Linked DNA regions of Saccharomyces cerevisiae S288C. Changing the gene in region 1 together with any one later gene gives a genetic interaction. Each region holds a gene or a part of one and is shown in the gene's direction. Other genes may lie near its edges. The genes, in order: SCW4 and GSC2.

Region 1 (3,676 bases):
GAAGCAGAATGGGTTTGGCAGCTACAAGAACCAAACAGCGGTTTGGTTTAGACCCCAGAAATACGGCATGGAGTAACGACACCTCGAGATTCGGGCACCAATTTCTAGAAAAGTTTGGATGGAAACCCGGTATGGGTCTGGGGTTATCCCCCATGAATTCGAACACTTCGCATATCAAAGTGTCAATTAAGGACGACAACGTTGGGCTCGGTGCTAAATTAAAACGTAAAGACAAAAAAGACGAGTTTGATAATGGTGAATGCGCAGGGTTGGATGTCTTCCAGCGAATTCTTGGTAGGCTGAACGGAAAGGAAAGCAAAATATCAGAGGAATTGGACACGCAGAGAAAGCAGAAGATTATTGACGGAAAATGGGGTATCCATTTTGTGAAGGGTGAAGTTTTAGCAAGCACGTGGGATCCAAAGACTCACAAGTTAAGAAATTACTCCAACGCGAAGAAACGAAAGAGGGAAGGAGACGATAGCGAAGATGAAGATGATGACGACAAAGAGGATAAAGACAGTGATAAAAAGAAGCACAAGAAGCACAAAAAGCATAAGAAAGACAAGAAAAAAGACAAGAAGGACAAAAAGGAGCATAAGAAACATAAAAAGGAAGAGAAGAGATTGAAGAAGGAAAAAAGGGCGGAAAAGACCAAAGAAACGAAAAAGACGTCAAAATTAAAATCTAGTGAATCTGCATCCAATATCCCCGATGCGGTAAACACAAGACTATCGGTGCGCTCCAAATGGATAAAACAAAAGAGGGCCGCGTTGATGGACTCCAAGGCACTGAATGAGATCTTTATGATAACAAACGACTAAACATTCCATTGCGTTTCATTGTGTGAGCAGCTGGCCAGTCTGCACACGCAGCAAGATATATAGAGTGGGGAAAAATTCTTCCCCGGTGCCAAAGAAAAAAGCAAATAAAAATGAAAAAAAAAAATGTGTGCCAGTACGACAGCATACCGCAACGAGTTTTTACATACATGATTAAACTAGTAAGTAATATTATAAGTATTTATTGAACTTATTGCGCCACGACTTCTGCCCCTGCAAAACCTTCAGCTTTATTAGGTGGGTTTGATGGAAGATAGTAGAGCAAGTGGAAAGCATAACATCGCTAACGTCTTCCACACCCTCCATAAAGCCGCTGCATGAATGATAAACGGGCTCAATTCGTATCAGTGTAACCAAATCCATCAATTAACGCCCAATCGAGCTCGTTAACTCCATTTTGGGAAAGAATCAAGATGCCTAGCCCGGCCTAATCGAGATGCATCCACAAACGACCCTGCACGGTCATTTCCCAGAGGGTTTTGTAATTTGTAGGCACCGCTTTTCGCGCGACACCCTGCTGCAATAGGATCTTCTCCCTAGAAACACGCGCAACGCACCTCTTTTCCCTTTTCGTTTAGCCTCTCCAAATGAGGAAAATAGGCACATGATTCCTTTTCACGCGCATTTTTTTCAGAAATTTTCTCTTGTGGTGTTGTTTCAAAAACGGCACCGTTGTTTTTGTTTTTTTTTTTCTGTTTTCTCCCATTCCTCGAGGAGAAGATCTCTGTTTTATAAAACTAATAGATATGTATTCTTTATCTTCTGTCATAATTGTTTTCTGTTTAGTAGTTCTTTTAGCCCTTATTCTATTCTTTTAATAGTGTTTACACAAAGGTCCAGCTAGATATCTAACTAAATCCAACTAAGTCATTCTTTTACATCTACAATCGTTTATATACTAGCAAGCCATACCGAAAAGCAAACTAGAAAAATATGCGTCTCTCTAACCTAATTGCTTCTGCCTCTCTTTTATCTGCTGCTACTCTTGCTGCTCCCGCTAACCACGAACACAAGGACAAGCGTGCTGTGGTCACTACCACTGTTCAAAAACAAACCACTATCATTGTTAATGGTGCCGCTTCAACTCCAGTTGCTGCTTTGGAAGAAAATGCTGTTGTCAACTCCGCTCCAGCTGCCGCTACCAGTACAACATCGTCTGCTGCTTCTGTAGCTACCGCTGCTGCTTCCTCTTCTGAGAACAACTCACAAGTTTCTGCTGCCGCATCTCCAGCCTCCAGCTCTGCTGCTACATCTACTCAATCTTCCTCTTCCTCCCAAGCTTCTTCCTCTAGTTCTTCCGGCGAAGACGTCAGCAGCTTTGCCTCTGGTGTCAGAGGTATCACTTATACCCCATACGAGTCCAGCGGTGCTTGTAAATCCGCTTCGGAAGTTGCTTCCGATTTAGCTCAATTGACTGACTTCCCAGTCATTAGATTGTACGGTACCGACTGTAACCAAGTTGAAAATGTTTTCAAGGCTAAGGCTTCGAACCAAAAAGTCTTTTTAGGTATTTACTACGTTGACCAAATCCAAGACGGTGTCAACACCATCAAGTCTGCTGTTGAATCTTACGGTTCTTGGGACGATGTCACCACTGTTTCCATTGGTAACGAATTGGTTAACGGTAACCAAGCTACCCCATCCCAAGTCGGTCAATACATTGACTCTGGTAGATCTGCCTTGAAGGCTGCCGGTTACACTGGTCCAGTTGTTTCTGTTGATACTTTTATTGCTGTGATCAACAACCCTGAATTGTGTGACTACTCCGACTACATGGCTGTTAATGCCCATGCTTACTTTGACAAGAACACAGTTGCCCAAGACTCCGGTAAATGGTTACTAGAACAAATCCAAAGAGTCTGGACTGCTTGTGATGGTAAGAAGAATGTTGTTATCACTGAGTCTGGTTGGCCATCAAAGGGTGAGACTTACGGTGTTGCTGTTCCATCTAAGGAAAATCAAAAGGACGCTGTTTCCGCCATTACCAGCTCCTGTGGTGCTGATACCTTCTTATTCACTGCCTTCAACGACTACTGGAAGGCCGACGGTGCTTACGGTGTTGAAAAATACTGGGGTATTCTATCCAATGAATAAGTCTACTCAATTGTAAAAAAAAACAAAAAAAATCTTGATTTAAAAAACGATACCCAATATTTTTAACTTTAAATTAAGGCTTTGATAATCTTCTTTTTCTCTGTTATATCAAAGGACTGCTTTCTGGTTTGCCTTCGCTAATCTTTTTTTTTTTTTTTCATTTTCCTATTTTAGTTCGTTTATGATCTCATTTGTATTTCTGTATATTTGTCTTAATACGAAATACGAGTTTTTATTTTATATTCTACCTTTCTTTTTTTTTTGGCTAAAAGCGTGTACGGTTCTATGTAAATATGTACGATTACATGTGTAATGTTTGTTTGGCCGGGCTCTTCATCTATGCCGTTGCCTTCTTGCAGGCGGAGTCCTGGATCTGTTACGATGGTTTCTCGATCCTCTTGGTGGAGTTCTGGATCTAGCACGTTTTCTTGTTTCCACTGTGAATGGCGATCTTGATCTACTATTTTCTCTGGTGTCCTTCTGTAAAAATAACCTGGATTCGTGAATTTTTGGCCCTTGGGTTGGTTGTGACTCTCTGGCCTTCTTCCGTAACTTTTCAAGTTCCTCCTCTTCTCTCAATTTTTTTTCTTCTTCCTCTGCATCCTCAACTTCTTGAATAATTGTCAACCGGCTTCTCATGTCCTCTGTGAGCAGGCCCAATCCTATGGCAGTAAAGAAATTTATGGAGTATCTTATATGTTCGGCGTCTCCTTCCAGCGGAAACATTCCGTCAAGCTTGC
Region 2 (8,181 bases), 500 kb from region 1:
CACCCCGAGGTTTAAAAACTAACCGTGATATACGAGGAGAATTGGTAACGGTACAATGATGATACTGGGTAAAGCCGGGATCCTGGCACAGTATGGGACAATATATGTGAGACAAAATACCATTCGGAATAATTTAAGTTCCTGCATTTTTAAGCAGTCACTATGTGCCTTTCATTCATTAGCAAAGGTGCTGCAACAAAAGCAAGTCCCACTGGACCTTTCATATGACATAATCAAGAGAGATGCAGTAAAAACTGGGGATGAAGGGAAGCCAAGACCACCTATTATCATACTTCACGGCTTATTCGGTAACAAGCTCAACAACCGAAGCATTGGCCGTAACCTTAACAAGAAATTGGGAAGAGACGTGTATCTGCTGGACCTAAGAAATCATGGATCCTCACCACACAGTTCAGTCCATAACTACGAAGTCATGTCGGAAGACGTGAAACACTTTATCACAAAGCACGAATTAAACACCAATGGAGGCCCTATTATAATAGGACACTCAATGGGTGGTAAAGTTGCCATGATGCTGGTCCTGAAAAACCCGCAACTTTGTTCGATGTTAGTCTGTATAGAGAACGCTCCGGTGAGTTTGCGCCCTAACGCTGAGTTTGTCGAATACATCAAAGCGCTGATGGAAATCGTCAACGACAAGGGCAAAACTATCCGCACGCTGAAACAGGCTGATGAACACCTTGCAGAGAGGATCGGCGGCAATGAGCTAGTAAGGCGGTTTCTCCTAACGGCGCTGAAAAAGGTCAAGATGGACAATTCATCGTCTGTGTCGTCATATACATTCGAAGAACGAATTCCCCTCGCAACACTGAAAGATGCCATTGTCAAAGGTGAAATTGCCGCGTGGCCCCTAGATCCTGCTCGTGAACGATGGACGCGGCCTGCGCTATTCATCAGGGCTACTCAATCGCATTATGTGGTAGACGAGTATCTTCCGATCATCGGCGCGTTCTTTCCACGCTTTGAAACACGTGACATCGATGCGGGTCACTGGGTAAATGCGGAGAAGCCTGGGGAATGTGCCGAAAGCATCGTCGATTTTGTGGAGCGGCACGAGGATTAAAGGCAAGCGCCCCGGAGCAAGGTGCCAGTAGCACCAGTCGGTGGCTGTGCGCTTGCCGTAGCACATGACATACGGACTATTGTGTGAGTGGTGATGGGGTGTAGGCAGTGCCACACCAGTTTAAAGGCCTAGTAACGGCAAATCGCCAAAAGAGATGATGCTGATGCATACGATAAGATCGTCAGTTTCACGTTCGCGGTTCGAACATGGAATTGTGGCTAAAGAAATTTGGGCGGTATGATGCAAATGAGGTGTACGTATGTATATATAGCAAAGAGTAGAATAAAATGAGATAAAGCCTCGTTCGTTCTCTCCATTTCTTCCCTGTTTCTCCTTTATTTTCTCTACTGCTTATTTCGAGTTCACCAGAGAACAAGAGAGCAGGAACGCAAAGAGTGTGTGACACGAAATTCAAGATACAAAAATAAAAGCTTACGTTGTGTATTTCAACTGGTGTGCTAAGAATAGAGTTTCATAAAGTACTGCATTTATTCATATATTATTTTTGTTATTTGTATATATACTTCACACTTAGAGTTCTACTAAAAGTCTACCCAGCACGCATCCTTCGTTTATTTTTACATCTCTCTTTTGCTTTTCCTTTTTTTTTTTGGTGCTTGCTAGATACTACTGAAGATCAAAGGTTACAAAGAACGCCGCATATATTTTCTGCAGGCATATTAAAGAAGTTACAAAAGGATTAATCGAAGCGCTGTTTGGATACACTCCTGTAAAGAGAAGAAAAGGAAAAAAATAAAAAGTGGACAATAAATAATTATTAAACTGTCATAGTTATGTCCTACAACGATCCAAACTTGAATGGACAGTATTACAGTAACGGTGATGGGACTGGTGACGGTAATTACCCTACGTACCAAGTGACACAGGATCAAAGTGCGTACGATGAGTACGGTCAGCCAATCTATACACAAAACCAACTGGATGATGGTTATTATGATCCAAACGAACAATACGTTGACGGTACACAATTTCCTCAGGGACAAGATCCTTCACAAGACCAAGGTCCTTATAATAACGATGCTAGTTACTATAACCAACCCCCCAATATGATGAACCCGTCTTCTCAAGATGGAGAGAACTTCTCAGATTTTAGCAGCTATGGTCCCCCATCCGGCACTTATCCTAACGATCAATATACTCCTTCTCAAATGAGTTATCCTGATCAAGATGGTTCTTCAGGGGCCTCAACCCCCTATGGAAATGGTGTCGTTAATGGTAATGGCCAGTACTACGACCCTAATGCTATTGAAATGGCTTTACCAAATGATCCATATCCCGCATGGACCGCAGATCCCCAGTCTCCCCTGCCCATCGAACAAATCGAAGATATCTTCATAGATTTAACAAATAAATTCGGTTTTCAGAGAGATTCCATGAGAAATATGTTTGACCATTTTATGACCCTTTTGGACTCTAGATCTTCTAGGATGTCTCCAGAACAGGCCCTTTTATCATTACATGCAGACTACATAGGTGGAGATACGGCCAACTACAAAAAATGGTACTTTGCCGCTCAACTTGATATGGATGATGAAATTGGTTTCAGGAATATGAAGTTGGGTAAGCTATCAAGAAAGGCAAGAAAGGCTAAGAAGAAAAATAAAAAAGCCATGCAAGAGGCTAGTCCTGAAGACACTGAGGAGACTTTAAATCAAATTGAGGGTGATAACTCATTAGAAGCTGCGGATTTTAGATGGAAGTCAAAGATGAATCAACTTTCTCCATTTGAAATGGTTCGTCAAATTGCCTTGTTTTTATTATGTTGGGGCGAGGCAAATCAAGTCAGATTTACCCCGGAGTGTCTTTGTTTCATTTATAAATGCGCCTCTGATTACTTAGATTCTGCACAATGTCAACAACGTCCTGATCCCTTGCCTGAAGGTGATTTTTTGAATAGAGTTATTACTCCTCTTTATCGTTTTATTAGGAGCCAGGTTTACGAAATCGTGGATGGTCGATACGTGAAGAGTGAAAAAGATCATAACAAAGTTATTGGGTATGATGATGTCAATCAATTATTCTGGTATCCAGAAGGTATAGCAAAAATTGTCATGGAAGATGGAACCAGGTTGATTGATTTGCCAGCAGAGGAGCGTTATTTGAAATTGGGAGAAATTCCCTGGGATGATGTCTTCTTTAAAACTTACAAAGAAACACGTTCCTGGTTACATTTAGTTACCAACTTCAATCGTATTTGGATCATGCACATCTCAGTATATTGGATGTATTGTGCTTACAATGCTCCAACTTTTTATACTCACAACTATCAACAATTGGTCGACAATCAGCCTTTGGCAGCTTATAAATGGGCCACTGCAGCATTAGGTGGTACTGTGGCAAGTTTGATTCAAGTTGCCGCTACTTTGTGCGAGTGGTCATTCGTTCCTAGAAAATGGGCGGGTGCTCAACATTTGTCCCGTAGATTCTGGTTCTTGTGTGTCATTATGGGTATTAATTTGGGGCCTGTGATATTTGTTTTCGCTTATGATAAGGACACAGTATATTCTACTGCCGCTCATGTCGTTGGAGCAGTTATGTTTTTTGTTGCTGTGGCAACACTTGTTTTCTTTTCCGTAATGCCATTGGGTGGATTATTTACATCGTATATGAAAAAGTCCACAAGAAGTTATGTTGCCTCACAGACCTTCACCGCATCTTTTGCTCCATTGCATGGTTTAGACAGGTGGATGTCTTATTTGGTTTGGGTAACCGTTTTTGCTGCTAAATATGCAGAGTCATATTTTTTTCTAATACTGTCACTAAGAGATCCAATTAGGATTTTATCTACTACATCAATGAGATGTACTGGTGAATACTGGTGGGGTAATAAGATTTGTAAGGTCCAGCCAAAGATTGTTTTAGGTTTAATGATTGCGACTGACTTCATTTTGTTCTTTTTGGATACCTACTTGTGGTATATCGTTGTTAACACTGTTTTCTCGGTCGGAAAATCGTTCTATTTGGGTATTTCTATCTTAACTCCATGGAGAAATATTTTCACTAGATTGCCAAAAAGAATTTATTCTAAGATCTTGGCTACTACTGATATGGAAATAAAATATAAACCGAAAGTACTAATTTCTCAGATTTGGAATGCTATCATTATCTCCATGTACAGAGAACATTTATTAGCCATAGACCATGTACAAAAATTGTTATATCATCAGGTTCCGTCCGAAATTGAAGGTAAGAGGACTTTGAGAGCACCAACTTTCTTTGTTTCCCAAGATGACAATAATTTTGAGACTGAATTTTTCCCTAGAGATTCAGAAGCTGAGCGCCGTATTTCATTTTTTGCCCAATCTCTATCCACTCCAATTCCAGAACCACTACCAGTTGACAACATGCCAACATTTACTGTATTAACTCCCCATTACGCCGAGAGGATTCTATTATCATTGAGAGAAATTATTCGTGAAGATGATCAATTTTCAAGAGTTACTCTTTTGGAATACCTGAAGCAATTACACCCGGTAGAATGGGACTGTTTTGTTAAGGATACGAAAATTCTTGCTGAAGAAACGGCCGCATATGAAAACAATGAAGATGAACCTGAAAAGGAAGACGCTCTGAAATCTCAAATTGATGATTTACCTTTCTATTGTATTGGTTTCAAATCTGCTGCACCAGAATACACCTTACGTACGAGAATCTGGGCCTCTTTAAGGTCGCAAACTTTGTATCGCACAATCTCGGGGTTTATGAATTATTCGAGGGCCATAAAATTACTTTATCGTGTGGAAAATCCAGAAATCGTTCAAATGTTCGGTGGTAATGCTGATGGATTAGAAAGAGAACTGGAAAAAATGGCAAGGCGAAAATTCAAATTCTTGGTTTCGATGCAAAGATTGGCCAAGTTTAAACCACATGAACTAGAAAATGCTGAGTTCCTGTTGAGAGCTTATCCGGACTTGCAAATTGCCTACCTGGATGAAGAACCTCCCTTAAACGAAGGCGAAGAGCCAAGAATTTACTCGGCCTTAATTGATGGTCATTGTGAGATTTTAGAGAATGGTCGTAGACGTCCCAAATTTAGAGTTCAACTATCCGGTAATCCAATTCTTGGTGATGGTAAATCAGATAATCAAAATCATGCTTTGATTTTTTACAGAGGTGAGTATATTCAATTGATTGATGCTAATCAAGACAATTACTTGGAAGAGTGTTTGAAAATCAGGTCTGTCTTAGCAGAATTTGAAGAATTGGGAATTGAGCAAATTCATCCTTATACTCCTGGTTTAAAATATGAGGACCAATCCACAAATCATCCTGTTGCAATTGTCGGCGCTAGAGAATATATTTTCTCAGAAAACTCTGGTGTTCTTGGTGATGTAGCGGCTGGTAAAGAACAAACTTTTGGTACATTATTTGCCCGTACTTTGGCACAGATTGGTGGTAAATTGCATTATGGTCATCCAGATTTTATTAATGCGACATTCATGACTACTAGGGGTGGTGTTTCCAAAGCACAAAAGGGTCTACATTTAAATGAAGATATTTATGCCGGTATGAATGCCGTACTTCGGGGTGGTCGTATCAAGCATTGCGAATATTATCAGTGTGGTAAAGGTAGAGATTTAGGTTTTGGTACAATTTTGAATTTCACTACTAAGATCGGTGCTGGTATGGGTGAACAAATGTTATCTCGTGAATACTATTATTTGGGTACGCAATTACCTATTGACCGTTTTTTAACATTTTATTATGCGCATCCAGGGTTTCACTTGAATAACTTATTTATTCAATTGTCTCTGCAGATGTTCATGTTAACTTTAGTGAACTTGCATGCTTTGGCTCATGAATCCATTCTGTGTGTTTACGATAGGGATAAGCCAATTACTGATGTTTTGTATCCAATTGGTTGTTACAACTTTCATCCTGCGATTGATTGGGTGAGACGTTATACACTCTCTATTTTCATCGTCTTTTGGATTGCTTTTGTCCCTATTGTCGTTCAGGAATTAATCGAGCGTGGTCTGTGGAAGGCGACACAAAGATTTTTCCGTCACATTTTATCTCTATCTCCAATGTTTGAAGTCTTTGCTGGCCAAATCTATTCTTCAGCACTGTTAAGTGATATCGCTGTGGGTGGTGCTCGTTATATTTCAACAGGTCGTGGCTTTGCTACATCTCGTATACCTTTCTCTATTCTTTATTCAAGATTTGCGGGTTCAGCCATTTATATGGGATCAAGATCAATGTTGATGTTATTATTTGGTACCGTGGCACATTGGCAAGCTCCACTATTATGGTTTTGGGCATCATTATCAGCCTTAATCTTTGCACCATTCATTTTCAATCCACATCAATTTGCTTGGGAAGATTTTTTCCTAGACTACAGAGATTATATCAGATGGCTGTCAAGAGGTAATAATAAGTACCACAGGAACTCATGGATTGGTTATGTAAGAATGTCGAGGTCTCGTGTTACTGGTTTCAAGCGCAAACTGGTGGGTGATGAGTCTGAAAAATCTGCAGGCGATGCAAGCAGGGCTCATAGAACCAATTTAATTATGGCTGAAATTATACCGTGTGCGATTTACGCAGCAGGTTGTTTTATTGCCTTCACGTTTATTAATGCACAAACTGGTGTCAAGACTACTGATGAAGATAGAGTAAATTCCACCTTACGTATCATCATTTGCACCTTGGCGCCTATTGTTATCGATATTGGTGTTTTATTCTTCTGTATGGGTTTGTCATGCTGCTCTGGCCCTTTGTTGGGCATGTGCTGCAAGAAAACTGGTTCTGTTATGGCAGGGATCGCTCACGGTATCGCTGTTGTTGTCCATATTGTCTTTTTCATTGTCATGTGGGTTTTAGAGGGTTTTAGTTTTGTTAGGATGTTGATTGGCGTTGTTACATGTATACAATGTCAAAGGTTGATTTTTCACTGTATGACTGTACTGTTGCTGACCCGTGAGTTCAAGAATGATCACGCTAATACTGCCTTTTGGACAGGCAAATGGTACAGCACCGGTTTAGGATATATGGCATGGACTCAACCGACAAGGGAATTGACTGCAAAAGTCATTGAGCTTTCCGAGTTTGCAGCGGATTTTGTTTTGGGGCATGTAATTTTGATCTTCCAACTACCAGTCATTTGTATTCCAAAGATAGATAAGTTTCACTCCATCATGTTATTTTGGTTAAAACCATCCCGTCAAATCCGTCCTCCTATTTACTCTTTGAAACAAGCACGCCTACGTAAACGTATGGTTAGGAGGTATTGCAGCTTGTACTTTTTGGTACTGATCATATTCGCGGGATGCATCGTTGGCCCTGCCGTTGCTTCAGCACATGTTCCAAAAGACCTTGGATCTGGGTTGACGGGTACTTTCCATAACTTGGTTCAACCAAGGAACGTATCTAACAATGATACAGGGTCCCAGATGTCTACTTATAAGAGTCATTATTACACTCATACGCCATCCTTAAAGACCTGGTCTACGATCAAATGATTTTTTTAGTTTACAATCTATTTTTGTTTCTAAGCAAGTTTATCACGCAAATACATAAGTATATTTTTACTTTCTATTCTTCCTAGTTTATATTTATTTCATTGTAACTTTCTTAGAAGCTCGGTCCTCTCGCTATATAGTAGGATCTGCAACATATTTGGATGTGGGTGGGCGTTCTCCTTCTTTTTTAGATGTAAGGTCCAACACGTATAACAGGTGATACACATAGAAAGACACGTGGAAATAACAGTCATTTACGAATATTTAAAACCTGAGCAACTCCGTCAAATTTGATCTTAATCTTTTCTGGGGCCCCATCTAATTCCCAGAAAGCCCTTCGAATTAGAAACCGGATGCAATTTTGGCTTGATCAAATAGTAACGCTTCTCTCCGGGAACATCAACGTACATGTTGATAAAGTCAGGTTGATAATTCTGTTTGGATTCTTTAGCCTCTAAGTGAACCAACGCTATTTTCTTTTTGGATTCAACGTGGAATCTCATATAGTGATGTGTCCTACCTTCTTTATCTAATTTTTTGGTAGATACTATAGGCCTGTTTCTTGTCCATTTGTCATTCGTTATAAGCTCACCGTACGCTTTCAATCTTTCTTTT

What was found.
Region 2: of SCW4 (region 1) and GSC2, changing one enhances a phenotype caused by changing the other (phenotypic enhancement), as found in Saccharomyces cerevisiae (one study listed by BioGRID).

The regions. Positions count from the first base shown.
Region 1 is NC_001139.9:1,048,058-1,051,733, reverse strand, and holds SCW4 (putative family 17 glucosidase), read left to right. Parts: upstream 1-1,775; coding exon 1,776-2,936; downstream 2,937-3,676. Other genes in the region: PXR1 (telomerase inhibitor), read left to right, coding at 9-824; U2-type spliceosomal complex subunit CWC22, read right to left, coding at 3,270-3,676. UniProt on the Saccharomyces cerevisiae protein: Glucanases possibly play a role in cell expansion during growth, in cell-cell fusion during mating, and in spore release during sporulation.
Region 2 is NC_001139.9:546,386-554,566, forward strand, and holds GSC2 (1,3-beta-glucan synthase GSC2), read left to right. Parts: upstream 1-1,878; coding exon 1,879-7,566; downstream 7,567-8,181. Other genes in the region: IMO32 (Imo32p), read left to right, coding at 56-1,084; NAG1 (Nag1p), read right to left, coding at 424-915; TIM21 (Tim21p), read right to left, coding at 7,863-8,181. UniProt on the Saccharomyces cerevisiae protein: Alternate catalytic subunit of the 1,3-beta-glucan synthase (GS) complex. Synthesizes 1,3-beta-glucan, a major structural component of the yeast cell wall. Required for spore wall assembly.